Linked DNA regions of Alligator mississippiensis. The protein of the gene in region 4 interacts with the protein of the main gene of each other region in a biochemical or structural test. Links are inferred from orthologs where the notes say so. Each region holds a gene or a part of one and is shown on either strand. Other genes may lie near its edges. The genes, in order: tyrosine-protein phosphatase non-receptor type substrate 1, TXNIP, FRS2 and PTPN11.

Region 1 (7,270 bases), on a different chromosome or scaffold from region 4:
GGCCTGGGAGTTGAGCCGTGCCAGTCCAGTACACTCGGTGGAGATGGGGCATCTAGTCTGAGGATGGCTTTACCCAGGATGGGCCGTTTGCCCTTCTCTGGTGCAGTAGGAAAACTTCTTTATAATATTATTTCCCCTGCTCCTCTTCTGGCGCTATGTGGTTGCAGCCCTCTGACCTACACAGGAGAGCTGTGCGCGCCTTCTAGCCCCACCGCAGTAAACGGAGCAAGCAGCATAGAAGAGTTGGCCCATGCATTAAACCCGACACCAGCACCGAGCCAGCCTTGTGCGTCTGCATCTGAGAATTCAGCACTTCCTAGGATTCAAATGACTGGTAATCTAGAGACTTGATGATTCCCTGCATTTCCCATCCCAGGGATCAGGGTTACAGCTGGCTAGAGAATGGGTTTTATTCTGCAAAAATATTGCCAAAAAGACTTCTTTTTTTTTTTTAACTCCTTTTGCAGTGGCGGGGGGTGGGGAGGTAGAAACTCCAAGCTGAACATTTAAGGTTTCAGCCACCAGGACCTGAAGCACTTTCAAGTGCGGGGAGTTTTGGTTTTTTTCCGTCTAAAAAAAGAAAATTGAGACGCCGTGCTAGAAGCACCTGCTTCAGCTCGAGCTCTCATTTGGCCATGCTCCATTTTCCACTGAAAATAAAGCATTGGTGATTTGTGATCAGCCCTAACGAGCAGGCCTGGCTTTTGCACATGCCTTCTCCTCCCCCCCATCCGGGCAGTAAGGCGTGATGTGGAACATCTGCCCAGGGGCTGGGCCTGGGGATGAGAGGGGGAGCGGTGGGTGGGATGGACCTGGCAGGTTGGCCTCTGATGCTGCTGGAGGGCACCAGAGCAAACTCAAGGGGTTGAAATGGGGCTGTGTTCCCCCGCAGGGTGCCCCCTAGCCGCGCCACGCTGCTCTGACACTGGTCCCAGCTGAGCCCAAATCGGGGTGGGAAGTGGGAGCCCTGCATGAACACCAGTGACCTTGAGCAGGAGGAGCAGGGTTGCTTAATCCCTACAGCAGAGCATAATTACTGCCCCTTTCCCAGCTGCAAACAAAGTGCTGATGTCCACTGTGGTCACACAACTCGGTTCCTGATAACGGAGAGACAGTTACCGACACCGAGGGACAGAGCGGAGTGGAAAAAGGGAACTCAACGACAGGAAAAGGAGCGAGACCGTGTCCGCTCCAGATCCGTGCACCATTCAATCATTAGGCAGGAGTGTAAGCCAGGCATCTGGGAGGTGCCCAGGTACCAGGTGGGTAGCATGAGTGCCTCAATTAGAGGGTACAGCTTGGCTGGGGCAGCAAGCTGTGTGTGGGCTGGGTATTAGTTGCCACCTTCCTCCCCCCACCAAACCCCCCCACCCCCCACACAAAACCAACCCTACAACTGATACCAAGCAAGGCAACCTGCACCAACATGACATGAACCGTGCAAGCTGGGGCGATGCACGTCCCAGCGCACCGAGGGCAGGTCTCCCTGCGCCTCCTGCTGTCCTGTGGGGCTGCCCGTGAGCCCCAGGTTGCACGGCAGTGGAGGGGCACAACCGCTCTGTTTTCACTTGCTAAGCACCTCACATCAGCGGGGCTGCACCACCTCAGGCTGTGTCCTTGCTGCCCGCAGCCCCTTATGCCCTTTGCTGCTTCTCACCGGGAAAGAGGAACAAAAACGGGCACCAGGCACTTGCAAAGCAGCTCTGCAGCCTTGAGGGGGCTGGGGCTGGCACCCTGCTTCCTGCCACCGTCAGCCTGCCAGGCACGCCAGACATCTCCAGCCCCTTTAATTCCCAGCTCTCTCCCCAGCCCCTGCTGTAGTGCTGCAGTAATTATAGGTCAGCGTGCAGAGGAGTATTTTGGTGCACCCGAGTTGAGTGGCTGGAAGAGATTTGCATCGCGGGAGGCTGATGGGAGCCAGACTCCAGGGAAGGAGGGGGTAGGGAGGGAAGGGACAGGTTCAAGGTTACAGACAAAAACCCTCCTGCCAGGAAGGGGAGGCAGATCCTACAGGGGAGTCCTCACTTACCTGCCCAGCTGTTCAAGGAGAAGAGGAAGAGAGAGGTCAGGCACCAGACAGGGCAGCGGGAGGCAGCGGCGAGAGGCTCCATCGCTGGCAGCTGGCAGGGCCGATGGGGAACAGTTGCACAGAAGGGCTGGGTGCTGCTCCGGGAAGGTCAGAGGCAGAAGGAAATTACGCTGTCCGCAGCCCGCAATGAGGAAGAAAAGCCGGGCAACTCAGCCTGCAGGCGCAGAGCACACGCGTGTTACCAAGGCACGCGATTCAAGCACCCTGCACTGACCTGCCCACGCGTGTCGAGGGTGGGACCTGGAACCTTGGGGGCGGATGGAGAGGAGCCCCCTCGCTCCCCGTCCAGCCATGGGCACCGGTGGCGATGCGCCCCCTCACTACCCATCCATTGACCCCTTCCTAGGGGTCCCCAGGCTCTGGTGGTGATGCACCCCCTTTGCTCCCCACCCAGCAACCCCTTCCTGGGGGTCCCCAGGCACCGGTGGCGATGCACCCCCTCACTCCCCATCCAGCATCCCCTTCCTGGGGGTCCCCAGGCACTGGTGGCAATGCACCCCCTGGCTCCCCACCCAGCAACCCCTTCCTAGGGGTCCCCAGGCACCGGTGGCGATGCACCCCCTGGCTCCCCATCTAGCAACCCCTTCCTAGGGGTCCCCAGGCACCGGTGGCAATGCACCCCCTGGCTCCCCACCCAGCAACCCCTTCCTAGGGTCCCCAGGCACCGGTGGCGATGCACCCCCTGGCTCCCCATCCATGGCCCCTTCCCAGCCGGGGTGTCCCGGCGGGCGGGGGGGCAATGCGGCAGCCCGGGGCCAGCTTGGGATGCCCAAAGCCGAGCGGGGTGGCCGCCCGCGTCTCACCCGGCCGGGGCGGTGCGGGGCTGCCCGTGCTGCGGCCGCGGCTCCCGGCTCTGTGCGCTCCCGCAGCCGCGGCGATGCGGGCTCCGCGCCGCCCCCTGCGCGTTGCCTAGCGCCGCGTGGAGGGGCCGCTTCCCCGCGTGGACCAGCCTCCCTCCCGCCCCGCCCCGCCCCGCCCCGCCTGGCGGGGGCCGGGCTCGGGCTGCGGGCTGCGGGCTGCGGGGCGCTGGTGCCGGCGGGCGCTGCCAGTGCCAGGCTCGGAGCAAACTTGTTCTGCGCTAAGGTCATCCCGGCCGCCCGCCCCGGCCAGCGCGGCTCTTAAGGTGGCCCCGAGCAGTTCCCGCAGCCAGCCCGCTCCTCTGCGCCGGCAGGGAGAGGCGGGGAGAAGGCAGCCCTGACCCTCCCTGCCACTGCCTCGCGCGCGGCCCCGGGCGCTGCCCTGCTCTGCTCTGCTGCACGCACCGCGGGCTTGGTGGCTGCTAGGGCTGGAAAAGCAGCAAGGGTTTCACCCAAAGAGGGTGGCCTCGCACCTTCTCTCTGCATCCTGCTGTGGGCACGGTGACCCAGGCTGGAGGGAGGGGCTCTGCTCCCCCCCAGCACCCGGTCTTCTCGCTTCCCCCATGCCCAGCTGCTCAGCGCCCCTCTCTCCGGCATACCCGTGCCTTGTCCCAGCCAGCCAGGCCACAAACTCTGCACCCGCTGTTCCCGGGAGCACGCGTGCAAGTGCCCCCCGCTTCGTCCCAGGTGAGAGCACAAAAGACCGCGGGGGAAATGCACAAGCAGCATCCCCGGCCTGGCACCTTGCGACATGATGCTCGTCATGAGCTAAGGGGAAACCCCCCGGGAGGTCGTGCACGGCAGGAAGAGCGTGGAGGTGGGAGAAGCCGGGGATGAGATGCTGGAGTAGAAACTGAGGAGGGGAGGGGACAAGGTCCTGTTTGCAGCTGCCTGGGAGGCCCAAGACTGAGATCTGCAAGTGTCCCAGTGCCTCGCCTCCCCATGCACACACGCACTGTGTCTGAGGACCAGAGGCAGGTGTAGCCCCGCCACAACCCACTCAGGCCCAGGCCTTCCTTCTGGCATCTCTTAAAAGGGGCGAGCAGCGCAGGCACTTGTACTGGAGCCAGGCAAGGATCTGTGGGCTCCTTCCGGCAGGAACTTGCTGCGGGCCCAGGCGTGTGGAGCTGGTGGCATGAAGCTGCGGGACCTGCTCCCTGCCTCTGCTCTACCTGGTGACTGCACACGATGGGGGGAGCGTGCAGCACAGCAGTCGCAGGCGGTGTCTGTACAGCCCACGAGTATGGCCATACTACCATCTAGCTAACTGCAGGGCCATAGAGCGAGCTAGCCATGAGCAAGCTTCAGCACCAGCCCCCTTCGTAGTCGAGGACGGGGGCATCGGGGATGGGCCGCAGCCTGCACGGCTGCTAGATCTTTGCTGTTGTAGACACACGGGCTGGTGTGCTCACAGCTCGCTTAGGGAAGCAACCGCAGGGTCCCTCTGCCCACAGGGGCTGAGTAAGCAGCTTCCACCGAGGTGGGAAAGTCCAACTGGGCAGTCATTTCTGCTTTTGCTGCATATGCGAACAAGAGGAACTCCCAGGTTCGTCCTAGGGCAAGCTGGCCGTTATGCTCCTGCTGGGCAAGGACTGTCCGAGGCCAGGCGGGCAGGTGGGTGGGCACCAAGTAGACCAAGAGCTGTTCCCGTGCTCTGGAGAGCTTTTCTGGCTTGCTGCCTGCCTTCGCCCCTGCTCACCACAACACTCCACCCCAGGGAAGATGCGCCAGCGCCGATGCCATTCCCTGTATTTATATCTTATCATCAACAAATAGCAAAGGCATCTCGAGTGATTTGGAGCCATCAAGCTGTGTGTATTGTCAGCCCATACAAATTTGTGTGCTTATTGCTGCAAGCCTCCTCTGCCCTATTGTTTGCAACACCCACATGTTGCATCCAGCCTTAATTGAGTTTGCCGGCGGAGCCAGGCCAGGACCAGAGGGACCGCACGTCTTGCTGCCTGTTGGCGCGGTGCCCCTCTCCACAGAGCCCCAGGCTGCACGAGGGGCTCCTGGCTGCTGCCATCACCCCGCGATTGCAGATTTCCAGCCTGCATCCAGCCAAGGCCACCGCCACCCACCGAGGCAGCCGTTCGCTGCTCCCATTTTGACTTGTGCACAAGTGAGCAGTGTTCGGTTCGTGAGCCTGTGAGAGCCATTTGGCCCCAGGGTGGAGCTCCATTGCAATCAGTCATTTGCTCCTACATTCAGGCCCATTTGGTCCCATGTTCAGGCCCTGTTTCAAGGCAGGCGGTCCCAGGGCTGTGCTGGAAATGCTCCCTTGCAGAGCAGTGGGAAGGTGGGGTCCGCGTGGGCTCCCTGCAACTGCCTTCATTCCCCCTCTCCATGCAGGTCCGACTTCAGAGCAGCTGCTCTGCTGCCCACGCAGGATGCAGGGCTCCTCTTTCCACAGGGACGCAGGGAGGCACGTCCAGCTGTCTGCAGCCTCGTGGTTATTTTTAATGGGAGTCAAAATGCCGGGAGGCCCGTGCCACTCGGGCATGCCTGGGCTGCTCTCCCGCCCTGCGCCGACGGCTTAGACAACCTGTTTGAAGGCGCTTATGAGGCGGAGATGCCATGCTGGCAGACAGCAGCTACAGAGCGGCGAAGAAGGAAAGATACTGAGCACGGCGGGGGGGAAGAAAGCAGGGCGAAGGCCCGCAGGTGGAAGCATGAGTTGTGCATGGGAATCAGCCGGTGTTGCTCCCCTGGAAGAGGCAGACGATCAGCTGTCCTCCCTCCAGAAAGTCCCTGTCCAAGAGTGCCGGGTCTTCCGGGACCTGCCCCTCGAGGGGGGCCCTGACGCAGTGGTAGGGGCTGCAGGTTAATAAGGACCTGCCTGAGATGAGAGTGCCGTTCCCCCCCCGATGTTGGGCGCCCGCGCGGGAGCGCAAGAGCTGGGAGCCTTTCAGAAGGCATAATGCCATAATTAGTAGTTTCCTTCAGAATCAAACACCCACAGCGAACAGGAGGCTTGCTGTGCTATTCATCAGGGGAAGGGTAGTACTGCCAGACTCTAAATACTATTATTGGGCAGCCAGGCTTCGCTCAGAAACTTTAGCTGCTGCTTCTTTATTTAACCTGCAATTGCCACTTCAGCTGAGAGAGCGGCACGGAGGGCTGGGCCCAGGTTTGCCTTCACCTCTGCAGCTCTTCCAGGTGGGTTCAGAAGTCATGCAGCAAAGGGGCTGGGTGTTTGCACCCTCTCGGCGGGTCCTGGCCAGGCTCGGTGCGTCCGGAGCTGCTCTGCCAAGTGCAGTCATAAGTAACTTGCAGTCGCGCCTGGGCTGAGGAAGGGGAAGCTCCCAGGAGAGCTTGTCAGGAACAGATTTGCTTTCACTGCTGAGTGGGGCCGGCCGTGCCGGAAGCACTCTCCATCCTGCTCTCGGGGAAGCACGAGGGATGCGGCTGGGAGACCCTCTGGGTTGGTTGCTGGACAGGCTGCAGGCCCTTGGAGTCTCTTTCCAGTAGCCTCAGCTAAATGGCCAGCCCTGGCTTCCCTTCCAGGGCTCAGCGTTATGTGCAGCGATGCAGAAGCACGGCTGGGGCCTGGGAAGATCCCTCTTCTCTGTGGTGCCATGTTCCCATCTTGCAGCCCAGCCCCAGGTCTCAGCCAGTTTGTTCATGACTCGGTCTTGAATGGGTGCGTGCATGTGACCGCCGTCTTCCCTAAGGGGATGCACCCCCTTCACCTGCTCCACGAGCAAAGGGTATTTCCCTTCACCCATGCTGTCCGTACAGGGGAAACAAAGATCTTCTGTTGCCTCGGCAGGGTATGAACGTCAGCTCGAGGCCTGAGAGAGGCAGGCAGTGCCGGCATCCCTCGTTGAGAGAGGTGGGTTGAGGCCACTTGTTTAGCTTGGCTGTGGGATGTCCCGTATGAGTCCTGGGCACTGTGCACTCAGGTCGGCACCGTTCAAAACCCAGCTGCAGGCTGCGTCCAGCTCTGCCCCCAGCCTGGCAGCTGCCTTTGCAGACTGAAGTGCTTTGCCTGTGCCCTGGTACGTGCTAGCATTTGTCCCGTGATCCCAGCCGGTACTCCACGTCCCTGATGCAGGAGCAGATTTCTGGGCAGGACGCCTACCCGGCTAATGGGAAAAGCTGAGCCCGGGGGCAGCCACACACCAGAGGAACGCGCTCCCTACCCTTAGTCCGATCCTCCCCGAGTCCCTGCAGCCCCCTCACCTCCTGCCTCCGGCTCTTGCTAGGCAGGGCCGGAGTGCAGATACCTCCTCCTGCACGCCTGGAAGAGCAAAGTCTCAATGCAAGCAGCATCCCCGCACAGCCCCCATGCACGGACAGGCAGGTCTTTAGCGGAAGCTGC
Region 2 (7,526 bases), on a different chromosome or scaffold from region 4:
AACAAGGCTCTTACAATGAGAAATGTCTCATTTCTGTTCATAGGCAGACAAGGTTCCTTGGGTGAATTTGATATCTTTTATTAGACCAACCCAAATGGTTGGAGAATAGTTATTAAGCAAGCTTTCGGGTTCAGAAACCCTTCGTCAGGCTAAGGAAGCTTCAGCAGTTGGTGTGTGCTCTTCCTGTTCAGGAAGGCGAAGCAGAATATGTCTATCTCTGCTATATTTTGAGCCCAGGCAGTCATTGCTCCTAATACCCCATTGCTGGAGAAGAATGGGGCTCTGGGCTGGGCTCTGAATCATCCCAGGGTTTGTGTGATGATGAGGAAAGACAGCCAGGGTCAGTGATGAATAGAAAAGAGATGTCCCTGCAGGAACCAGCTTCCTTTAGGCACTTATCATGTAGTGGTGACAAGAAACAAGCAATGCCACGCATGTGGGGCTTGCAAAACTCAGCTCCCTGCTCATGCTGTGAAAATGTATGTCTTCTGTGCTTCTTTTACTCTCTTACTCCCAGTCCTGTCAGAGGAAGTGGTTTTTTCAGTATTCCTTCTCAACCCCGCCCTGTGCATGACAGTCGAGTTTTGTTCTTGGGCCATTGTGAGTGGCTTGTTAGTCCCCTTCCTGACCTTCCTGGAGGAAACCTTATATGGCTAAAATATATCTCATGGAAACATCATCATCAAAACTCCTTGGAGTTCTGCGCATGGTAACAGCCACTTGCAACCAAGTCACAGGCTGCTTCTAGCAACAGTCAAAGACGGGAGCCACACCATCTGCAGTGAAACAAAGGACACACTGGGTGCATCTACACATGCATTTACTGCGCAGTAATTTACCGCACAGTAAATTACTCCACAGTAAGTGGTTTTTAGGCCAGCGTCTACACACGCAGGCATTACAGAGCAGTAATGCTGTGTGTGGACTGACTTGGGCCTAAAGTTAGTCCCAAGTCCATCTACACACGCAGTGTTAATGCATAGTAAGGCATCTACACATGCCTTACTGTGCAGTAACTAATCGGGCATAAATTTGCTACCTGTATCATGCAGGTAGCAAATTTACACCCGAGTAAGCGTAAGTCACTATAGTTGCTGCGCAGTATAGATGTGCACCTGTACTGTGCAGTGATTTTGGTTACCTAATTACTGTACAGTAATTGTGCACCTGTAGACATGCCCACTGAAGAGACATGCCACTGATTTCTGCCTGTGACACGGACAATAGCTTTTTCTGACTGTGATCAATGTCAAGGTTTTTAGACCAGGTAATAAAGATTTCATGAGTAATCTTGTGCATCCAATCTTGATTATAGTAAGGACTCAGAGCAGCAAGGAGCAGAAAGCAGCTCCAGAGGACCAGGAATAGTATGTGGTTTTGAAATGTGCTTTCAGTGGCTCTATCCCTACTGTGTTTGAGCTGCATTAGCTGATTTGAACCGTGTTCAAAATCAGCTTAGTTAGCAAAGCACAGAGCAGACAGAGCCGTAAAGCACTGTCCAACAGAGGTGTTACCGTAGTCGGGCAGTTTATTGGCACTGATCTCCCTTCAGTGATTTCACTAGGCTTCTGTCTGGCATCTTCTCTTTGGAAATGATGTGATAAACTAACGACTGTATTTTACAAGCCAAAATAGCTTGGTAAAGAAGAAAATGCTAGACTTCCCAAACTATATAGGCCACCTTGAACCTTTGTTATCTGAGAAGCTCTAATATACTGTCCATAATGGAAAACTTTTGAATACAGAGTCCCATCCTGAGATGCTCCCCTACCCGTGTGATAGTGAGGCATCTTCAGTCAGATTAGGGTCAGGGGAGCTAAAGGTCAAAAACAGGTTGGCAGAAAAGCAAGGCTGGACAGGATTCAGTTTTGGGAACGTGCCTTGGATCGCCGCACTGGCTGGCTGCCTGGCCCAGAGTTAAAATGTCCTTTGACATCTGTGGTATGTGCAGTGTCGCAGTCTGAGAGAAAGCAGCAACACACTGCAGTTTTGCAAGGGCCTGACTGTACTGCCAAAAAGCAGTACGTCGTTGGGCCGACACCTGCACTAAAGGGAGCCAAAGAAGCTGGATTTAATGCACTTAAAGGAATGCAGCGTATTCTGATAAGGAACATGGCATTTTATCCAGACCAACAGTCCATCTAATCCCTTATCCTACAGCCTGCCGCTATCCAGCCTATTGGCTATTTATCTCCATATTCCACCACCTGCCAAATTAGATCAGGTCTATGGCCCCCATAGCTCAATATCCCTCTTCTTATCGTACTGATGCAGAGCCCTAGTATGCTTGGCTGACACTAGAGGTTTCAGGAAAAGGTGCAGTCCTTCCTCTATTGGTCGACTGTAATCGCACAGTGCTCTGTCATCAAGAGGAAATTCCTTCTTTAAAAGAGCAGGTGATCAGTTTATGCCCTAACACATGAAGATGGCCAGGGGTGGATACATACACCGAATTGCAGCGTAAGGCAGAAGACAGAAATGCCAGCTTCATTACTGCAATGCACAGACACAGGGGGCAAAAGGCAGCAAAACAGCATAACTATCCTGGTGACTTACGCTACTTCTCCTAGGGAAGGGGCACAAGTTTAGATGCAAAAGGAAGTTTCTTGATTTCCCCTAATCCTGCTCCTAAAATGTGCGTTTTGCTACTTACAACCCATTTTTAACATGGCTTTTTGTGTGAACTCAGTTACTGCGAGAAGAAAACCGCTTTTCAAACTATCCCAAAACGGGCCACAGCGGTTTAGAAACGGGGTGAAAGCCTGGCAAAACCCTGAGAGGTGCTGCGTAGGCAGAACGACATGAGCCCTACATTCGCTCCTTCCCTAAAGGCGGGGGGGAGGTTTTTATTTTGTGCCGAATGTCGCATGAAGCACGTTCTTCAGGGAGCTGGGACCTGATCGGGCAAAAAGCCCATTTCCCAAGGATTCGCCCAGCCCGAGAGCTAAACATCGTGCTCCTAACAAATAAGCAATTGTCTCCTGTTTTTCACATCGCTGCCTTTGATTTCCTGCGCAGCAAGCAGTCACCCTCGTACGGCGCGTGGCAACATGGTGTAACACAAGCAAAGGGCTGGGGGGGAGGGGGGGGACTTGTGCAAATCTCAGATAGTCCCAACGTGATTAAAGGAGAAATGGGGTTTTTTGGAGGGGAAGTCTAGCGATGCCCCTTTTTGCAATCAATGCGGGTGTCCAGGGTGGTATCTTTTGGAGCATGGGGGAGGATTTGGAGTTCAATTGAAGAGTTACAGAGGATTGACCCCCCCCAAATCCAGTCATGGTGTGCGGTATAGATTTGGGGGGACTGACTACCCAGCCCCAGCACTGTGTGAGGGGAGGCCGGGGGGGCAATATGTGTGTGGGGGGATATTATGGGGGGCTATGGGCTGCCATGTAGCATTTGAAGGGAGACGCTGGAGGCCTCAAATGGTGCCTAAACCGCGTGAGGAGCAGAGGGAAAGAGGACCTGCCTTCCCACAGCCACGGTGGAGATAGTGGGGGGCTTCAGACAGCCGGCACAGCGCGTGTAAGGGGGTGGGCCGCCCTCCCGCGCTGGGTGGAAGGGATGGCGCTGAGGGGCTGTCAAACCACCCCTATCGGGGACCCTGCGCCGAGGGGGCTGAGCTATTGGCCTGCATGGAGCCATTGAAGGGAATGGGGGGCTGCGTATTGCACCCCCATAGCAGCTCTGAGGGGCAGGGGGTCTGTACTGCTCCCCCATAGCAGCTATAAGGGAGGGGGGGTGTACTGCTCCCCCCACAGCAGCTGTGAGGGGGAAGGACACGTGATTTTGGGCTGCCTCTATTATCAGTACAGGATTTGGGGGGTCGGGGCTGGGAGCAGCCACCCCCACAGGGGAACCCCTGGCAAGGAACCCCCCCCGTGACGTGACACTCCCGAGTCACAGAAGAAAAGAAAAAAAAAAAAAATCCCCTCACAGCCCAGGAGCCTGATTGGCTCCGAGAGCCTCTCAGCTTCGCCTCTCATTGGCCTCCCGCTGCGTCACTCCGCGCATCACCCCACCCCCTTCAGAACCCTGCATCTCTTCACACACTGTCCACGCTCCGCGGCCGGCGCGCCGATTGGCCGGCGAGCACGTAAACAAGGCAGCGGCAGCCAATGGGAGCGCTGATCACGCGAGCAGCACGCTTCCACGCGCCCTCAGCGTGGCATGGAGGTGATCAACAACCGAAGTGCGGGGAGGCTGAGAGTATAAAAGCGCCGCATCCGGCGCGTCTTGGCGCAAAGCCTGGCAGGCTCCGAGCAGAGCGGAGCTCCTTGCTGCTGAGCTGCGGCCAGAATACCACAGACGGCATCTCTGCTCCCTTCCCTCGGATTCCAGCGCCCAGGCCAAAAACTAAAAAGGGGCTTAATTTTTCAGCCAGCAATCTAAAAAAAAAATAGCTTTTTTCTTTTTTTCTGCACGATTTTTGATACCATTCAATTCCAAGCCCCAGGCTTTTGGGGTTTTTTCCCTTGTATTTTGGCCATTCCAGTTGAGCCTTAGCCCCCTTCCTCTCCTAGTCCCGTCTAAACCAAGCCAACTTTCCTGCCACCATGGTGATGTTCAAGAAGATCAAGACTTTCGAGCTGGTTTTCAGCGAGCCCGGCAAGGTCTACTTCAGCGGGGAGAAAGTGGCCGGCCGTGTGCTGGTGGAAGTGACCGACGTCACCCGAGTCACAGCCATGAAGGTGTTGGCCTGTGGCGTGGCCAAGGTCAACTGGGCCAAGGGCCCCCACCACTGCAAGCAGGAGATGGAGTACCTCCGCTACGAGGACGTCCTGACCCTGGATGACAAACCCACTGGTGAGAACCCGAGACCTAAATAATACGACCTAAATTGTAGGGCTCTTCTGCCCCCAAAAAAGCCTCTTTTTTGCCCAAAAATGCTTTTAAAGCAGGGTTAGATCAAAAATGAAAGGTTGGATTGAGTAATATTGGAGGTGCTGGGGTGTTTTAACACAATAGGATACTTGGCAGCCAAGTAGGGCTTTATCTGTGGTTGTTTTTGGCACTTGGCTCTGCTAGCGGCTCTTTTTTTTACTCCAGTATTTTGAGGTTTTGTGGTTATGTCCTGGCAAAAAGGTCCTAGAAGTATCTTAATGATTCATTTGGACCTGGATAAACTAGCAGAGAGCCTTAGTTGGTCTGCTGTAGGAAGCGTGTCTAAAGTTTGAGACAGAGGAGTAACAAAACTCGGGGGGTGTAGTGACAATTGGGAGATTGCAGCCGGCAGCGAAGACCTTAAAGAGGTTGATGCGGCAGGAGTAGCATCCCCAAAGGATGGGAGCGAATGTTATTGGCAGGGTAGCTGTATTGTGAACAAGCTTCCTGAGCTGCATGGAGAGGCGAAGTAATTACAGTGTGCGAGTACAGTATGCAGGACAGGTGTTACAGCTGGGGAGCCGCTCCTCTCTTGGCACAGGGAGTGATGGGCGCTGTGATTTCCTGGCTCTCTGGCACAGGGAGTTACTCCCGCCCCCGAGGCAGGTTGGAAGAAGGCACAGCTTCCCCGCTTGGCAGGGTTGTGTGTAAAAGAGTGACAGGCAAGACCAGGGATGATGTGAAATGCCTTGGATAGTTTTCCAACTTCTTTATTGGCCCAGATAGAGATTTGCAGTGGATTATTTGGTGGGAGGGAGGATGTAGAGGCCAGCTCTGAGTCCTTACTTAAGAGGATGATTAAGAAGCACGAAAAGATTGCAATGGCAATATAGCAGAAGTTTTTCAGAACGTTTCTAAGTAACAGCATAGATTATACCCAGCACAGCAAACTTTGGCACTTGTGTTGTTTCTGCTGAGACAGGATGTTGTGACAAAGCTGAGAACATGCAGCAAGACTTGAGGTTTTTAACTTCCTCTCTCTTTTTTTTTCCCCCATTGCAGATGAGGATGGCTCTGTGATCTTGAGACCTGGGAACAAATACGAATACAAGTTTGGATTTGAGCTTCCTCAAGGGTAGGTATTGATCAAACACGGCATCAGAAATGCTAGCCTTGTGACAAAATTCCCTCGGTTGTTATTTGTGCGTGTGTTTTTAATGAGCTCCTCTTGTATTGCAGACCCCTTGGTACTACCTTCAAAGGGAAGTACGGCTGTGTAGATTACTGGGTGAAGGCTTTCTTGGAGCGCCCATCAGTCCCACCTCAGGAGACAAAGAAGCATTTTGAGGTCCAGGACCCTGTTGACATCAACACTCCAGATCTACTGGTAATTGTTATATTCTTGGGTGTTGTTGGGGCAATGGTGGGGCTGTTTGCTAGAGGTGGTTCAGAGGGATATTTGCTATGTATGTAAATTTTACAGTTCCAGGGCAGATTAAGTATTGTCTCCTAAGGAGATGAGTGCTCCATATTGCTCAAAGCCCTAATGGAAGTCTAGGTTAGTTGTTTGAGATGGGTTACCTTTCTCTTGAGCTATGTACATCAGTGAGTGTCCATGAAACAGGACACTGGAATCTACCTGGAGATGCAAATTAAACCGCATGGAATACAAAATGTTATGGCAGCAGTCTGGCAGGATATGGACAGGATAGAATAGGGCGCACACAACAGGCTGTCTTCATTTGTTGTAACCAAATCCCTCTGAATCTTTTCCAGTCTCCCGTCTCTGCCAAGAAGGAGAAGAAGGTGTCCTGCATGTTCTTTCCTGATGGCCATGTGTCTGTCAGTGCCAGGATTGACAGGAAGGGGTTCTGCGAAGGTGAGCCTGGCTTCCCAGGAGGACTGGGAGATGAGGGGGCTGAATGGGACAGTGCTTGAAAAGAGCATTGCTCTGAGCAAGAGGGGAGGAGAAGGGCATGACATTGAACCATGTGATACTACTGAGCAAGGGAAGTGGGCTGTGAATCAGAGAAACTTCCCAATTAGATTGGGCTTCTCTGCTTTAACCAGTGTAGACTTCGCCATGAATAAGCTGTAAGAGAATCATCTCCACCGTGGGTAAGACCTTCCCTGTAACTAAACAATCCTGTCTTCTTTCAGGGGATGAAATCTGCATCAATGCAGACTTTGAGAACACATGCTCCCGCATCGTGGTACCCAAGGCAGCCATCGTTTCCAAGCACACCTACCTAGCAAATGGCGAGACCAAAGTTTTCGTTCAGAAACTCTCCTGTGTGCGTGGCAACCACATCATCTCGGGCATGTCTGACACCTGGCGGGGCAAAACAATCCGTGTCAGGAAGATCAAACCCTCTATCCTGGGCTGCAACATCTTGCGCGTGGAGTACTTCCTGCAGGTAAGGGTCGTGGGTACTGAAGGATCTCTCTTCCACACCAGGCCCATCATCGGGGAACATAGCATGTGCAGTTGTCCTGCCAGGGACCCCTCTCCTCCCTTAGATTTGCTCTTTGGAGTTTCTTTCAGGGCTTTGATACCTGCAGTGGTCTCACAAGCCAGTGGAATAGACATGGCATTGCACTAAATTTACAGTTTAGCCATGTCACTCCCTTTCCATTAGGAATCTTATACAGGCTTTAATGCAACAGAGGAAGGGTGATGTCATTCCTAACCATCTCTTCAT
Region 3 (8,092 bases), on a different chromosome or scaffold from region 4:
TTTTAAAGCTTTGGACCGTAATTTGTAGACCTATGCACATGTTTTAGTTCATAGAATACTGCTAAGCCTGTGAATGAATCTTTGCATTAGAAAAAATCATTGCTGTTTCCCCATAAAAATGTACATGTTTTCTTTTCCTTTGAAGCTCATGAATATATCAACACATGATCACTGTAGATGGATCACTCAAGCATGCAAGGCTGTTTAAAGAATCAGGGCATTAGTTAAATGAATAGTTACCAAATTTTATATATATTTTTTTTCAAACTGAGTTGGAAATATCCAGCATTGTTTTAATGTTTCTGGAAAATTCAACACAACTTCTAATAATCGTGGTTTGAGTTTTAACCACATACTTTATTTTTGGAATGAGGGAATTAATATCGCTGGAAGAGAATGTTTTTGTGTCAAAAAGAATTGCCCTTTGCTATTTTCAGTACTGCTCAACATGAAATTATTTCTGCTGATATAAGAGCCTCTGAAAACAGAAATTTCTACTCAGCATGTAATTATATTAAAGGGATAGGGAACTTAAAATTTGGTTTTATCATAAGTTCTACTGTTGAGTGGAAAAATCTTTGTGAGTAACATATAATTATTGTTCATGATAAACCAGACTTAATTGTATTATGTTTTGGAAATATTTTCATTGACTTTAAAACATCTATTTCATCCTTCACTGTTCAAATAAATGGTGAGAAGCTCCTCAAAAACTGTTAACATACAATACTCTCATGTCTTTAGAAAGGTTTGCCTTTTGTATTTAATAATATAAAATGCATGTTTATTACAACTGGAGAAAGCAATTATATAAAAAAGAAGTGTTCTTCTTAAACTCTCTTTTTTATAGAATGGTGTCTTATCCATACTGCAGTAGTTTGTATGTTTTTTCTAATAAATAGCAAAACTCTCACTAACTTTAACCATTCATGACTGGGTCCATGTGTATAAAGGATATTAACTTTTATTAATTTCAGTTCTATGGAGTTCTCTTTAAGGGTTTAGGATTTTCAAACATTAAATTGGTAGGCAGTTCATAAATTCCACTTGCAGACCTTTCATCTTGGTTATTAGCAAAATCACCCTATTCTCAATTCCTACACATTATGGTTAAAGAAATTAGGGGTATCATATAAATGTCTCTCTGAAGGAATTAAAAAATGGATGCCATATGTATTCAATAACAAATGTTTGATTAATAGCTCTGACTCCTACTGTCAGTTATCTTCTGTAATCCATTATAAAAGCATATTAGGAAGCACACTGTCTCTAAGCATTTCTGTATATTTGCTTCTGTACAGACAATTAAATGCTAATTCATATAGCAACTTGGAGTAATTAGTCTTAGCATTTCACTTGTCATCTATATTTCTATAGGCTCATCAAGGAAATGAACAGGCAACCTGGTCAAAGCCAAATTAAAAGAAAGTTATGCATACATTTGGCGAGAAAATTTTCCAGTGTGACCTTAAAGCAAAGGTACCACAAGTACACATGTTCACATACAGCCAGTACAATTGCAAGAAGAATGGAACACATTGCTAGACAAAAGATGAGAGGAAACATTATTGGAACTGATGGGTGAAGTATATGTATAATGCTCCCCAAGACAGAGTCAGAATTTCCTAGTGAAAGCCTCTCACCCAATCCCAATTATGAAAGCACAATGTTTAGAGGTATAAAGATCAGCCCCAATAGGATTTTTTTAAAGATCTGGGCAGTTAGACTACAATAACGGGAATCTGGTTATAAAATGTGTTATAGGATTTGTGGCATGCTGTGTGGGGGTTGTGGATATTGTCTCAAATATACTGTACTAAAATTGTGAAGAAATAAGTAGCTCAGGATTTGATCTAATTCATCTCAAATGGAGACTACAGTTGAGAAGTGTACACCTATTTAAAAAGGGGCAAAATGTGGTTAGCAGACACAGTGGATGTGCTAATACTTGACTTGATTTTATTACAGCTATAACTGAAATAAATTCTATTTTATTCTATTCTGTACTGGTTCTTATGCTACACTATTGCCTTAAATGTCGGGAAACACATTCAATGAATTTAGTTGGTGGAAATTGCCTTTACAAATATGGTTCAGGCAAAGCCAATGAGTTGTAAACCATTGGTGTGCAGTGGGTATATTAGATTATGCTGAAAGATGTAAGAGGCAGGCAAGCCTCCAAATGAAGCATTCTGACACCTTTAAAATGGGAAATGATGGTTTATGATCAGTTTCCAGTTTGAAACTGAACCCAAAGAAAATGTGCATTGTTTATAATTGGTGTGGGTGGAGGGGTGGGGATCGCTGAGGGGCGGAGGGGCAATTTCTACTGACAAAAAGGTAAATTGGAGCTGTGCTGTACCAGCCAACTCCCCAGGCACTCAGATGTGTAGACTTCTCTTCTCCTATTATACAAGATTAATTTGTAGGTTTGCCAATACTGGAAAACCATCGCATAGCTTGGGTGAGAGAGGGAAACCATTTAGGGGCCAGCAAAGTGAGATTTAGCTGTTTTGGAGTTGAAAATGGCTTGCTCCTATTTTAGCCTACCCATTTTTCAAAACCCTCTTCAGAATGGACACGGATGCCAGTGGTTACAAGTCAGGGACATTATTACCACAAAAACAAAAAGAACTTGAGATGGTGGTGGCTTTTTACTTTAGTTTAAGTTCATCTTGGAAGAAATTATTGTATCGCTTGAAAGGAACTCTGGAGTGGTAAATCTATAGAAGGTGGTCACCACTGTTTGTACTGGAGATAATCTGTTAGCAAAGCAGACCATTCACCCCTGCAACAACCCTTGAGGAATCCTAAGAGACAACTTGCAAGGGGTTAGACAGATTGCAGTGCCATGATTTCACAGCCATATGCTGACATGGGCACAAGCACGATAATAAGGGTATCTTAATTTGCTGGCTTTTTTAGTAGACGAATCACAAACATTGCCCTTAATAGAGCAATGAAAAGGCTGCATAAAGCATGAGTGTGCTTTGAAAGATATGTGTTTCCTCTCTTCCCTTAATTTGCAGGAATGCAAATTCTCTTGATACAGGGGTGTAGGTTGTAGCCGTGCTGGTCTAAGGACATAGGCAGGCAAGGTTCTTTGGGTGAATCTATGTTTTATTAGACCAACTTAAATAGTTAAGCTGGTCTAATAAAAAGGTATCAGATTCACCCAAAGAACCTTATCTGCCTAATTCTCTTGGTAAACTGTAACCTCTGTGACTGGCTGTGGGATAGTTATGTAGAAAGCAGGGGAATAACTTGTTGAAGCAGCCAGGTGAGACAGCCATCTTGCAAGAAACACTTGAGCTACTTTCTAAAGTATGACAGCTGCAACGGAGGGAACCACTGACCCAAACTCAGAGCATTAACAAGTTTCATTGAAGCGGGCAGAATCGAGTTGCTGAGTGAAAGTGTAAGAGGCTTGGTAGTGTGTGGTGGAGATGCATGTCAGCAACCTGAAGAAGATAGAGGAGGAAGCAAAAAAGTCAGGCAGAGAATAAGAGAGAAGCAATTGTAGTACAGCCTGAGAGGAGGATGAAGGTGAGCTTTTTGGGCAGTATGGGATGCAAAGGAACTACGGCAAGTTTGATTCCTTTTGTGTCCTGGGGCACGGCACGCATTCTTTTGCAAGTATATGGAACTGCATCCAAAAAATACACAACTCCACCATCAGTTTTTCCTCCTTGTGGAAACACCCATCCCACAGGTTCCCAAATATTGACTGACTGGATCAAAAGAGGTAATTTCACAAACACTTATAAGCAGTTCTAGATTTCAAACTCCTGAGGACAGTGACCCATCTCGCCTGTTAACAAGCACGCTGACAAGACAGTACCTGAAGAACCACAGGACAGTCCTACAGAAAGGAAGCAAGAAAGACATGGTCCTAAACTTTTTTAAAAGCAGGAAGGTCCCAAAGGTCATGCTGTGATGAGGACCAGAGGCAGCTGTGTGCTACTTCCCTGTATCTTTCTTGCAGTTTTCCAAACCTCTTTACACTTCTCCTTTTAGTGCCAGTGTTGTCACCTCCCTTTTTATAAGAAATCATGTGAGAAACTGGGGGCGGGGGGGCTGAAATAGCAGAGCACCGCCTAAAATGACAGCGGGATGTCAGCCAAGGAGAAAGGCCCTGAGACCCACCCCCCCTGCTCTCTCCATGTTGGGTAAAACCAGCTGCAGCTTTTGCCAGGTTGCCCCAGACATGGCCTTGGCTTCCCCGCGGCCTCTGATGCAGCTGCCTAGACTTATTTCTGCAGGCTTAGGAGCTGTGGAAGGCGGCTGGCCAATCCAGCCCCAGGCGCCACCACTTCGGCCCGCAGAACCGATACTACTGGTGCCCTATCCGCGTGCCGAAGCAGCGAGAGCCAGCTCCGTGTCCCTGGGCGGGCGGGCACGCCGTCCGGCACCGAGGCCCTCGACAGCTCCCCTCTGCCCCGCAGCACCGGGTCGCACGGGCAGTGCCTGCCCCGCGCTCCAACTCCATGCAAAAGAACAGCCAGTCACTGAACGCGCTCACTGAACGATTTGCATACGCGGTTGTCATGGCAGCCACCACCCCCCCCCCAGTCGCTCTCCCTTCCTATTGGCTGTTCCCGCGCCGGCCGCTTCGGGCCCCTTGGCCGTGTCTCCCCGCCCTGGCCCTTTCCCGCTGCCCCCGGAAGTAGTTGTGGGGGTGCCTCGGAAGTAGTTCGGGCAGAGTCCGGCCCAGAGCGAGGCCCTGTTGGTGCCGCTGTTGGGAGTTGCTGTTGGTAGCGGCGGCGGCACTCGGAGCCCGGCCCGGCCCCGCGGCCAGGCCCGGGCTCATGGCGGAGGTGAGTGCCGGGAGGGCCCCGTGCGCAGGCTCGCAGTCTCCTGGGGCCGGGGCTCCCCCTGTGCCCCCCACCCGTGAGGCGCCGGCGGCCGCAGCCCGCGCAGGGCGACGGGAGCGGAGCCGGCCAGGGCGGTTGGCGGGAGGCGACGGGCGAGAGCAGAAGCCCCGGTCTGGGGAGCGTTTGCTGCCGGCTCAGCTCGAGCCGGGAGCCTGGAGGGGCAGGAGCGGGCCCCCTCGCCCTGTCTGCGCACACGGAGGCCGGGAGGGTCCTGGTGTCCCGCCCTCCCCTTGATGCTGTCCCGGAGGTTCCCCAGACCCGCTTGGCGGCGGGTGCCCTGGGGCTGAAGGGTCCTGGGGGAGTGGTGCTGCAGGTCCCCCCGCGGCTGCGGTGCTCGCACGGCTTGTCCGCAGGTGGCAGTGACCAGGGAGCGCCTGTGAGGCGCCTGAGTGATTAGTCACAGTGCAACATCGTGCTTAGCGGTGGGGAAGGAGGTAGGACGAGTCAGGCTTGGCATCAGCCTGGCCTCTGTGGTGCTCTGTGCTGCTGACCAGCTCTTTTTGGGCGACTTTTTTTATTCCTTTTTATTTTTTCCCTAGCAACTTCTTTTTGAATGTGCTCTTCAAATGCTTTCTTATTCTGCTGGACAGGCTTCAGGAGAAGTGATGTCTATTGACTGGGTCAAGCTGTAGGTCCTTTTTGGTTGGTCTCTTGTGTCACACTGGGCTTCAGGCAGGAACTGGCCCCCTTTCTTCCCAGTTGCATAGTGGCAGAGAGTGCATGCTGACAGACCAAACTGGGTATGACCAGGGTTTTTTCCTTCCCCACTGTTTCTCTCTCACTTGCAGCCTCTAGCATTAAGGTCTAGGGCAGGGGTTCTCAACCTTTTTTGTACCAGGACCCATTTGTAAACATTGATGGCTAGTCCCAACCCAGTGCTTGTCACTCCTGATCCACTGCCCCCAGACCCCAGTTCCTCATTGTGTGGGGCAGGGGGGCCCAAGCAGCCCCTTGCAGGCTGGAGCTCTGCCAGCTTGCAAGGGAAAAGCCACGGTTTCCCATGTTTTTCTCCTTTAAAGGCGAATCCATTATTGATCCATTTTTAAAGTTTCTTCTTGACCCTTTCATATATTCTTGTGACCCACTTTTGTGTCCTGACCCATGGGCTGAGAAATGCTGGGCTAGGAAGTTCTGATTCAGAGGCTGCACCCCTGACTCCCATGCTCAGTAGCTACTGATGACTGTTTCCTCCAAGAGTTTATCCTCTCTCTTTTTTAGTCTGGCTAAGCTGTCAACTTGCGCAACATCTCATGGCAGTGAATTCCACGCTTCAATGGCATGCTGTATGAAACAGAGCTTCCTTTTGTTCATTTGAAACTTATTACCTACTCGTTTCATTTTGTGACCCTCCTAGTTCTTGTCTTGTGAGAGGGTGAGTAATAAATCTCTCTACTTTCTCTTTGCCATTTAGTATTTTGGTAAACCCTGATGTCCTCCCTCAAGCATCTCTCTTCTAAACTTAATAGGCCTAGTCTGTTTAATGTCTTCTCTTATGGAAACCCCACCTGACTGCTAATCATGTGTATTGTCTTTCTTTGGATCTTCTCTGGTTCTTGTGCCCTTTTTGAGGTGTGGAGACCAAAACTGGGTACAGTATTCAAGGTGTGGATGCATTGTGAATTTATGAAAGAGAAAGCATGCACTTTTTTCCTGAATAGTTGTCGATTTCAAGCTGCTTTGATATTGGCAGTTTCTTTACACTAATATTCTTCTGGATGCAATTTAGTAGCTGAGCAGTCTAGTTTCTAGAAGGGGAAAAGCTATATGGGTTTTTGTATGGTTCCGTGGTGCATTAAAATGTTTTGCTATTAAGATGTATAGGTTCAGTTCCAGAAAGTGCCCAATATCAGTACTGAAGTTAGCTAGAAGTGGAGTCCCATATACATATTCCTCAGTTTCCACTGCACTGAAAACACTCTTTTCTCTCTCCTTTTTTAAAAAGGAAATGCATGTTATATTGGTAGCAATTACCCATCAAACTCTAAATTCAGTCCCTTTCTCATTTGCCTTTCATTTGATTATTGCCCCCTGATTAACATGTGCTTCTGTGTCAAAAATGTGTTGGAAGTGCTTATTAAAACAGTATTCCAGTAACCATATTCATATGTTTAATTTTTCCTTCCATGATTTTGCTTTCTTTCCAGTTCAGCGTCTTAATTTAAATTTTGACCATTCTTTGTATCCACCAAAGACTGTAATCTTTTCTATGCAGCCTCTTCAAGTGTAGTAATTCTATAATGTGTTGAAAAAATCCTAGATTCTGATAATATGGAAAATAGTTCTAAAAAAGATGTGCATAGATTCCAAACTTATTGTTTAAATATTGCATAGCAATGTATGTATCTCTCACTCATGTAACAAACCATGGTAGTGTTATAAAGGGGAGAATTTATTTTATAAATGTTGTTTAGCTTTGTACACAAAATGGTCATTTTTGTTGTTTTGAACTGCTGCTGTTTTATGGGACTTCTCCACAAATGGTCTTCAAGACTGTGAATTTCAGCTTAGCTTGGTGGAAAGAAATGTTAGGTCAGTTCTACCTGGAAATCAATCGTATAAAAGAAATGTGGATAAAATACACTGGCTGTGAGTAGCAAGGCTAATTAACCAAATAAAAGTTAGAATGATTCTGTTGGGTAGTAGCTGTGCCTAGAGATGACCTTTACTAAGTTAAGACTAAAACTAAGTTCAGAGCTCAGTGAAAATAGATGTTAGTTCTTAAGTGGCAGATGCATTGGACAAAGAGCAAATTCTCAACATTTTCTCAAAAATGATTTGTGCGTGTGTAGTTATGTCTAAAAGTATTTTCAATAACCAGATTCTATTCTAGTCCATTTGTTAAGCAGCCTTTAAATAGCTCTAGCCTGTTTTACCTTACATTCAGTTATGTGCAAATAGGTGCTCTGCTATTCATTCTTGTTTGCCACTTTGCAGTCATTGATACAAACTCTAGAACTAGGTTCAGACAAGATTAGCTTGCTAATAATACTTGACCAGAAAAAAAATGTTTAAAATCTATTTTTCTTGTAAACGTGCTTAACTTTACACGGCTTAGTTCTAGTGAAATCAATGAAGCGACTCAAGTTTAAAGTTCAACTGTGCACACACGCACAAGTGTACACGCATGTACAGGATTTTGGACATTGGATAGGTAAACTTCTTGTCTACCTGAACTGATGCGATAAATTCTTAACTGTTCTGTGGACTGTTGTCAATTT
Region 4 (7,888 bases):
TTTTATAGAGATGGAATGTATTTTAATTTTTTTTTCTGCTTTCCTTTTTCCATCTCTGATCTAAGCACACACAAGAGTTATTCCCAGCAAAAGACTGAGAGCCTATAATGCAACCAAAAAAGTAATGTATAGAAGCATAGTCTAATTAAACCATCAATCCTCACTGTGGGCATAATGTTTCCCAAAGCTATTTGGATTTAATAGATTCTGCCATGCAGCACTCTGCATCACTTGGCATTTCAAAATAAGGCAAAGCTATTAATGCAAAAAGGTAACCAACGAGACTGTCACTCCTCATTTACAAAGGGAATGGGGATATCAGAGAAGAGGGCCTTCACCCTCCTACCCTCCCAAGAGAATCATGTGCGCAGCAGGGAACATGCTCTTGCTTCAGATAAATTCTCAATCACTAAGACGTGACTGTACAAAACGTCTATTTGCAGAACTGCCATGTTTGAGGACATTCTTCAATCATGTGCTATATTAACTGCACGTTTCTGTTTTCTTATTAGAATTGGAATAATCGGTACCTGTAGTGGGGAGAAACAAACGGCATTATTTTCCCGCTTGAAAAGAGAAACAAACCAAAAAAAAAATCAATACACTTTTCCATTTTGCGACAAGGCAAACAAATTGGATCTCCCTTTTTGACTGCAGTACTGATAAAATCACTTCTAAGCCTTGGCTGCCACAAGTGGAGCTATCAGGAGGTGGTGACTTTTAATGTAATTAATCCTATTTATAGGCTCGCCCTCTACCTGCATTATCTTTGCCCATTCTTTTTCATGAGCAATTTCCAATTTAAACTTCCGCACTCACAAGCCAGAAAACAAACACATACTTTTAAGAAGTGCTCAACTAACCTAAGCAGCTATATTTGCAAGGATGGGTAGAGGAGAATACAAAAACTCACTATAAACAAACACCGAAGAACCCACACACGGGTGATTCTTAACCTTTTTAGATGCAAAGCTCCCCTCAGAAAGTGAAAATTACAGAAAAATAACAGCAATTCTTCTGTTAAAAAGAATTTCATAGTATTAAAAAAAACTTTCTGACTTGCTGTGGTCTTTCTTTTGAAAGCTCTGGGTTTATCTTGCACATTGTGCTTGCACAGCTAAGTGTGTGGCACCCCATAGCACCCCTGAAAGGATCCCAAGCCACCCCAGAGCACCATGGCATCCCAGCTGAGAATCACTGCCACACACGTGCACCTCTTCCTTCCTAACATAACACCAACTACAGAGGTGGTTCTCATCCTTTCTGGACTAGAGGCACCCCTCCTCACTAGACTCAAGGCCCCTCTCCACCACTTTTGTGAACACAGTAGCACAGATTACAGGCTTGCCTCCTTGCAGAGAGGCTGGGCAGTGGTGACAGGATATTATCCAGGCAGGGACAAGCCTGAGCCTGCACTTATCTGCTTAGTTTCGCCGCTTCTCTCCTCAAAGCACCCTTCAAAAGTTCTGGTAGCGCCTCAGGGTGCCCCGGTTGAAAAATCACAGTGCTAGGGGATAGGAGAAGGGTGAATGAAACCGAGCCATCCAGTTTCACCCTCCCGAGCTCAACAACCAGAACAAACTGAATCCAAAAAGGAAAACACGGCCAAGGACCAGAATAAGAGGAGTAAAAGAAAAGGCTGTCCATTAAGTGCACTATCGCTCTCATCATGGGGCCACGAGTTCAGGGGCTGCAGATGAATGCGTCAGAGAGAGGGAGACGAGGTTCTCTGGGTAAATCCGATATCTTTTATTAGATCAACTCAAATAGCTGTAAAAATCCTTCTTTTCAAGCTTTCGGGTATAAATACTCTTTCACCAGGCTGAGGAAGCATCTGCAGTTGGTGTGCACTCTTCCTGGGTGGAATGGCTACAGGGAGGATTTCCAAGGCCCCTGGTACACATTACATATCTTGCGCAATAAACCCAGATGGGCCACCTGTGCAAGATAACGATCACGCCATAAAAAGGATTCTCCAGCTCTCAAAAGAGCCAGCCAGCTACAAAGCCAGGGCTTGAAAACGTGGAACAACTCAGTGGCCCCTGCTACAAATTAAGCAGATTACACAATTAACTGGTTAACTGCACAAGAAACATAAGCCGGCCGCACATACAAAGGAAGACGGCCTACTAGTGCGTGCGAAGGAATTATCACACCATTCACTGGTGAATCGCACGATACATTCACACCGGCCACACATGCAAAGTGATGATCATGCAACGTGCCAATAAATTCACACCAGCCACCCACACGAAGTCACAATCGCACAATTCACTGGTGCGGCACGCAATAAATTCAGTCCAGCCCCCACGCAAAGTTGCGATCACACAACTGACTGGTAAAATGCGCAATAAATTCAGACTGACCATCCACGTGAAGGCGCAATCACACCATTCGCTGATGATTCGTACAACAAATTCGTACCAGCCACCCGTGCAAAGTCACATTTGCACAACTGCCTGGTGAACTGCGCAATAAACTCCCACCAGCCACCCACGTGAAGTCACACACACACAACTGTCTAGCGAAAGGTGCAATAAATGCAGCTGTCCCCTCCATGAGAAGTCACGACTGAACGATTCACTGCCGAATCGCGCAATAAATGCAGCCCAAGCCCCCGTGCGAAGTCACGACTGCACAATTTGCTGCCAAGTCGCGCAATAAATGCAGCCGGGGCACCCGTGTGAAGGCAGGATGGCACGACTCACCGGTGAACTGTGCCCCTGGCCACTTGTGCCAAGTCACCATCACTCCACGGACTGGAGCGCGCAATAAATGCGCACCGGGGAAGCGCGCCATAAAGGGGCCCGATCCCGCCCGGAAGGACTCTCCAGCCCCACAGGGAAGGCGCTGCCCCTCTCCCCCCCCCGAGGCAGGGGCCGCCCCGTCCTTGAGGGGGGGGCCAGGTCCCCTCATCGCGGGGGGAGGGGCGGGGAAGCGGGGGGGGGAGGGGCCCGGCTCCCGCCTCACCTCCGCGATGTCATCTTCCCGCGGCTTGGGCCCGCCACAGGGCCGCGCCCCTGCCGGCCTCCCCCCGCAGCGGGCCGCGGCCGACGGGGCCCTGAGGGGAGCGTGCACGGCCGCCGCCTCCAGGCCCCAGAGGCGCGGCGCGGCCAGCAACGTCATCAAACAGCGACCTCTTCCTCCCCCCCCACCCGCGCTTGAGAGACGCAGGACTACATCTCCCGGCCTGCCCCGGGGCGGGCGCGGTGGCGTCACGCGCCGCGCTCTTTAGCGCCGGGTGCCCGGATGTCCACCCCTTTTCCTTCTCGGAAGGTGAGGATGGCGGAGCCGGGCTGGGCGGCGCTGCGGGCCATCCGCCGCCATCCGCCTCCGGGGGGCGCTGCCGGGGCCCGGGGGGATGCTGGCGGGCTCCGGGGGGGCGCGATGCGGGGCGGGCAGCGGCCGGGCATAGCTGATCCCGGCGGCCGGAGCAGGAGGGCCTGCATCTTCCCTTCCCCGGCCCGGCCCCGGCTCCTCCATCCGGGCATGCTCGCTGCTTGTCTTCCCGGCCTGTGCAAGGCAGTCAGCAGCCCTGGGCTGCTCCTTTCCGGTCTCCGCCTGTACAGGGGTTCCCGTGGGGTTTCTTGAACCACGGCTCCTCTTCTCTTTTTCTTGGCTGCTCTGCCCATCCACGTGCTGTAACTGATGCTGTGCCCTCCTATTGGCTAGATGGCAGGCGAGAAGGCGGCAGGTGAGAAGAAGGCTAAGAAGCCCCGGAAGCACCATGCCAGCCGCAACCCTGTGCTGGCCCGAGGGATCGGGAAATACTCCCGGTCAGCCATGTACGCCCGGAAAGCGATGTACAAGCGCAAGTACACGGCCCCAGAAACAAAGGTATATGGAAAACAAGCTGTCTGTGCGTTCATTTGTTCTGGCAGACGAGGTTCTTTAGGTGAATGTGATGATCTTTCATTAGCCCTACTCATTAACTTGTTCTGATTCTTAACCCGTTCCTTTGTTGTCTTCTTGTGCAGATAGAAAAGAAAAAGAAAGAAAAAGCAGCTGCTACCATCACCAAACCAGTTGGTGGAGATAAGAATGGAGGCAACCGGGTGGTGAAAGTCCGTAAAATGGTAAGGTTACCCCCCACCCCCCAAAAAAAGATGTCAGATAAATAGAGGTTTGCTCTTGCTGAACACTGAGTTGCGTTGATGAAAAGGAAGAGATTTTGGCCCTTTATGTTTTGGGAAGTGCATTCAGTACTGATTTTACGTTGCTCTCCTATGAGACTGCAGTCTTGCAGCCCTCAGCAGACACTGTCTGGGCGCTAGTGTTGAGTTCTGTCGTAGGTATGTTCTCAATCTAGTGACGTATTGCTGTCTTCAGTGAAGCATGTGTGGGAGACCCCCTTCCCCACACACATACACGCACATCTTATTTGAGATGATGCGTGTACTCTCTGAATTGACGTGTCTGAAGAAGGTGCACGTACCCCGTACGTACTGAATTAGAAGCACAATCACAAATATCTTTGCATTTTGTGTGACCTGCTGGGTACATGATGCAAAATGTGTGCCTTTAAAGTGCCAACTTCCTTAAAATACTAGCCTGCAGCAAAGAGAACCTTGCGGGGGGAAAACAAGTCTCTCCCAATGAAATGAAAGGGAGTATCTGTAAAAGGGGAAAGACCACAATTTGAATGAAATTATTTTATAAAGAGGCTGGAATATTTCAGTTCATATTTTGTCGTGTGTTCCCTCTAGCCAAGATACTATCCAACTGAAGACGTTCCTCGTAAGCTCTTGAGTCATGGCAAAAAGCCCTTCTGCCAACACAAGAGGAAACTGCGGGGTAGCATTAATCCAGGAACCGTTCTGATTCTTCTCACTGGTCGCCACAGAGGCAAGGTAAATGGGAAACTTTTTACAAACACTTCTATGCTGTGTTTGCACTTCATTATATTGATTGCTCGGTTATTATTCCCTTCCTCCTCAACACGTTAAAATAAAGTCAGGGTCATCGCCAGTTGTGTGGTTCAGTGTGTGCAATTTCATTTTACGCATATTGTTTTCTGCTGTCTTGCTTTATCTGGACAGTACCCCTCTTTGGTCCTTTGGGAGGCTTCAAGAACAAGACTGTACTGTACGTGGTCAGAATGAATTAGGAGAAAAAAAAAAGGAATGACTGGGCAAGTTACCTAGACACTATTAAAGGGACGTTCCCATACTCTACAAATGATACGGAGTCATGGGTCAGACTTGCGTATCAAGAGTAATATAATATTAATTACCATATACTATTCGTTGCCATTTCTGACTAGGAAAAGGAAGACCCAACATTTAAACTATTGCAAAACAAAATAAAGCAACGTGCATTCTGGATAACGAATTGCAAAGGAAAGCTATAAATCAATACTTTTAATATCACTGTAGCAAACCAAACATCAAAAGACAAATTGGTATCAACACTTATTTTCTTTATCCTAAGAAAAGCATCTTTGGGTAACTGACACTTTAGAACAGAATTTCTAGTTAGACCTTTCACTGCCCTGCTTGCATTTTTTGCTTGTATCTAGTCAAACGCACATGGTCATAAAAAGAGGCTATTTGGGGGGAGTATTCATTGAAACCTGAGCCACGTGGTGCAAAGCTGGTGCTGCTTCACCTTTCTACGGAAAGTTTCTCCCCCTCTAATTTTTTCACACGCACTGCTCGTTACAGAAAATTCAGTCAGTAAAAGTGCTGTCTGGGCAAGGGTGTCAAGATGACTGACTGACTGACTTCTGTCTGCTGGGAGAGGCTCTAATGTGAATGCAGTTAGATTGGCAAAATTATGCTTTATCAGTATAGCTTGTTTTGGCTCCTGGGGGATGTGTCTTTTTTACTGTCCTGGCAGAAAGTATAATTCAAGTAGTGTAGATACGGTTCTACTTTTTAGGTTGTGATATATCAATGATATATATTTAAATATAGATAGATATTAAACTCTGTAAACAGTCCTTAATGCTGCAAGGCTAAGACTAATGCCCTCTTGTATCCATTTCCAGCGTGTGATCTTCCTGAAGCAGCTTGCTAGTGGCCTGTTGCTTGTAACAGGTAAGCAACTTTTTCACTGAAATCTCTTTTAAATTTTTAGTTTTAATCTCCCTGTGACATTTGACTACATCATGCATCTCTGAGGCAGTCTGAGTATCACAATGGGCATTACATGGCATGGAATTGCTTATGTAGAAATATATACCTTTCCAGGAAAATTAATTCACTTACGTTTTAATATCTGGAAACACTAGCAAGATAAGAAAAAGCTTTTAGTGTTGTAAAGCATGAAGAAAGGGTGTCCTAATTTGTGTTTTGTTGTTTTTTTTAATGAGGCTTAGTACTCTCCTCTGCAAGAAATATATGCTTTATACCTGAATGTTATTCCATGAGGGAAACTTAGTTTCCTTAGAGCACAGATAGCTGCAATCTCAGAAATGAAATGCTGCTCTTGTAACTCACTTGGATTTTTTTTGTCTGCCGCTAGGACCCTTGGCTATCAATCGTGTCCCTCTGCGCAGGACTCACCAGAAGTTCGTTATTGCCACTTCCACCAAGGTTGACATCACAGGGGTGAAAATTCCAAAGCATCTCAGTGATGTGTACTTCAAGAAGAAGAGGTTGCGTAAGCCCAAGCATCAGGAAGGCGAGATCTTTGACACTGAAAAGGAGGTAAGGCTCTTCAGTGACCTCTTTATAGTAGGGATGCAAGGAGTGGGTTGGGACAGTCTTCCTCTAGAAGCATATTTTTAATGCTACCTTTTCAAAAAGAACTTAAAAAGCATAGAAGGCCAAATCGGTTTAACCTCATATGGGAACCTTGATAGCAACACTTGAGAATCCACATATTTTAAAATGTGCTGCCTTCAGAATAGCTCCTGCACTGTTAAACAACCAGCAGGAGGCGAACAGCATCTCCTAAGATTGGTGGAGTTGGTCTTGCACATAAAGTTGAGTTGTGAAATCTCCCTCTCAATATGCTCTCCATTGATTTCCTGTCTATGGAAGGTATTCTATTTATTGTGGTGTTAGGGACTCTATTTGCACTGTAGTTTGAGCTGGTAATTTAATCTAGCTCTAGCTGTTGAGCTGTTCTTTATTCTTTGAGGGGGAAAAATATAGATAGATATAGAGGGAAAGAGAGACTGTGTAAAACATCACAGTGCTGTCTATTCCTTGTGGCTCAAAAGGAATGACCCTTTTTTCAGCTCCTGAAGATGGAGTGCTGAGAAGCTTACCCAGCTAAAAACCTTGGCATGGCAGGGAAATGGCCCTTGTGAAGAAGTTCTGCAGGAATAACAGACTGAAATCTGTGGGGTATTCTAACTTTAGTCTTCTCTTTCTTAGAAATACGAGATAACAGAACAACGCAAAGCAGATCAGAAGACAGTGGACTCACAGCTTCTACCAATAATCAAAAAGGTGCCTCAGCTCCGTGGCTACCTGCGTTCTACATTCTCCCTCTCAAATGGAGTTTATCCTCACAAATTGGTGTTCTAAATATTTTAAAGGCATGACATTAATATTAAAGTTTGTGGGGGAAAAAACAAGGCTCTGCACCTGATTCCAGCTAGTTATCTTTGTAATTAAATACATTCCTCAGAGCAGTGGGGGCCAACCTTCGTGGCAGGCATGTCACAATTAAGCTCCACACCCGCCCTGCATGTCACTCCAGTCCTCTTCCCCCTGCCTGATCTGCTGCTTTCCTTTCTGTTCCCTGCATTATCTGCCACCACTTTGCCTGCCCCCTCCCCAGTGTATGTGCCACTAGTTGCCACCCTGGTTTAGACCTCTTCATGAAGTAAAAAAACCTGGTTTGAAATTGGGTGTTTTATGCATTGTGGCATAGGATTCCAAATGGACGGAGCTGCCTGTATGATGTGCAATAGTTTTCAGGTGACATTTTAGTG

The links.
Region 1: the proteins of PTPN11 (region 4) and tyrosine-protein phosphatase non-receptor type substrate 1 form a complex in vitro, tested with the Homo sapiens proteins (2 studies listed by BioGRID). The link is inferred for Alligator mississippiensis from reciprocal best matches to the Homo sapiens genes PTPN11 and SIRPA.
Region 2: the proteins of PTPN11 (region 4) and TXNIP are reported together in a solved structure, tested with the Homo sapiens proteins (2 studies listed by BioGRID, with this or other methods). The link is inferred for Alligator mississippiensis from reciprocal best matches to the Homo sapiens genes PTPN11 and TXNIP.
Region 3: the proteins of PTPN11 (region 4) and FRS2 interact in a test that uses a peptide from one of them, tested with the Homo sapiens proteins (2 studies listed by BioGRID, with this or other methods). The link is inferred for Alligator mississippiensis from reciprocal best matches to the Homo sapiens genes PTPN11 and FRS2.

The regions. Positions count from the first base shown.
Region 1 is NC_081832.1:2,105,504-2,112,773, reverse strand, and holds the start of tyrosine-protein phosphatase non-receptor type substrate 1, read right to left. Parts: upstream 3,048-7,270; 5' UTR 2,893-3,047; intron 2,244-2,892; 5' UTR 2,112-2,243; coding exon 2,030-2,111; intron 1-2,029. UniProt on the Homo sapiens protein: Immunoglobulin-like cell surface receptor for CD47. Acts as docking protein and induces translocation of PTPN6, PTPN11 and other binding partners from the cytosol to the plasma membrane.
Region 2 is NC_081838.1:17,945,266-17,952,791, reverse strand, and holds the start of TXNIP (thioredoxin-interacting protein), read left to right. Parts: upstream 1-4,232; 5' UTR 4,233-4,556; coding exon 4,557-4,806; intron 4,807-5,886; coding exon 5,887-5,959; intron 5,960-6,063; coding exon 6,064-6,211; intron 6,212-6,600; coding exon 6,601-6,703; intron 6,704-6,984; coding exon 6,985-7,241; intron 7,242-7,526. UniProt on the Homo sapiens protein: May act as an oxidative stress mediator by inhibiting thioredoxin activity or by limiting its bioavailability.
Region 3 is NC_081827.1:69,859,156-69,867,247, forward strand, and holds the start of FRS2 (fibroblast growth factor receptor substrate 2), read left to right. Parts: upstream 1-4,682; 5' UTR 4,683-4,817; intron 4,818-6,092; exon of another isoform or gene 6,093-6,246; intron 6,247-8,092. UniProt on the Homo sapiens protein: Adapter protein that links activated FGR and NGF receptors to downstream signaling pathways.
Region 4 is NC_081833.1:3,953,244-3,961,131, reverse strand, and holds the start of PTPN11 (tyrosine-protein phosphatase non-receptor type 11), read right to left. Parts: upstream 3,119-7,888; 5' UTR 2,985-3,118; coding exon 2,971-2,984; intron 1-2,970. Other genes in the region: RPL6 (large ribosomal subunit protein eL6), read left to right, coding at 3,250-3,276, 3,673-3,837, 3,978-4,076, 4,707-4,850, 5,990-6,038, 6,466-6,650, 7,326-7,478. UniProt on the Homo sapiens protein: Acts downstream of various receptor and cytoplasmic protein tyrosine kinases to participate in the signal transduction from the cell surface to the nucleus. Positively regulates MAPK signal transduction pathway. Dephosphorylates GAB1, ARHGAP35 and EGFR.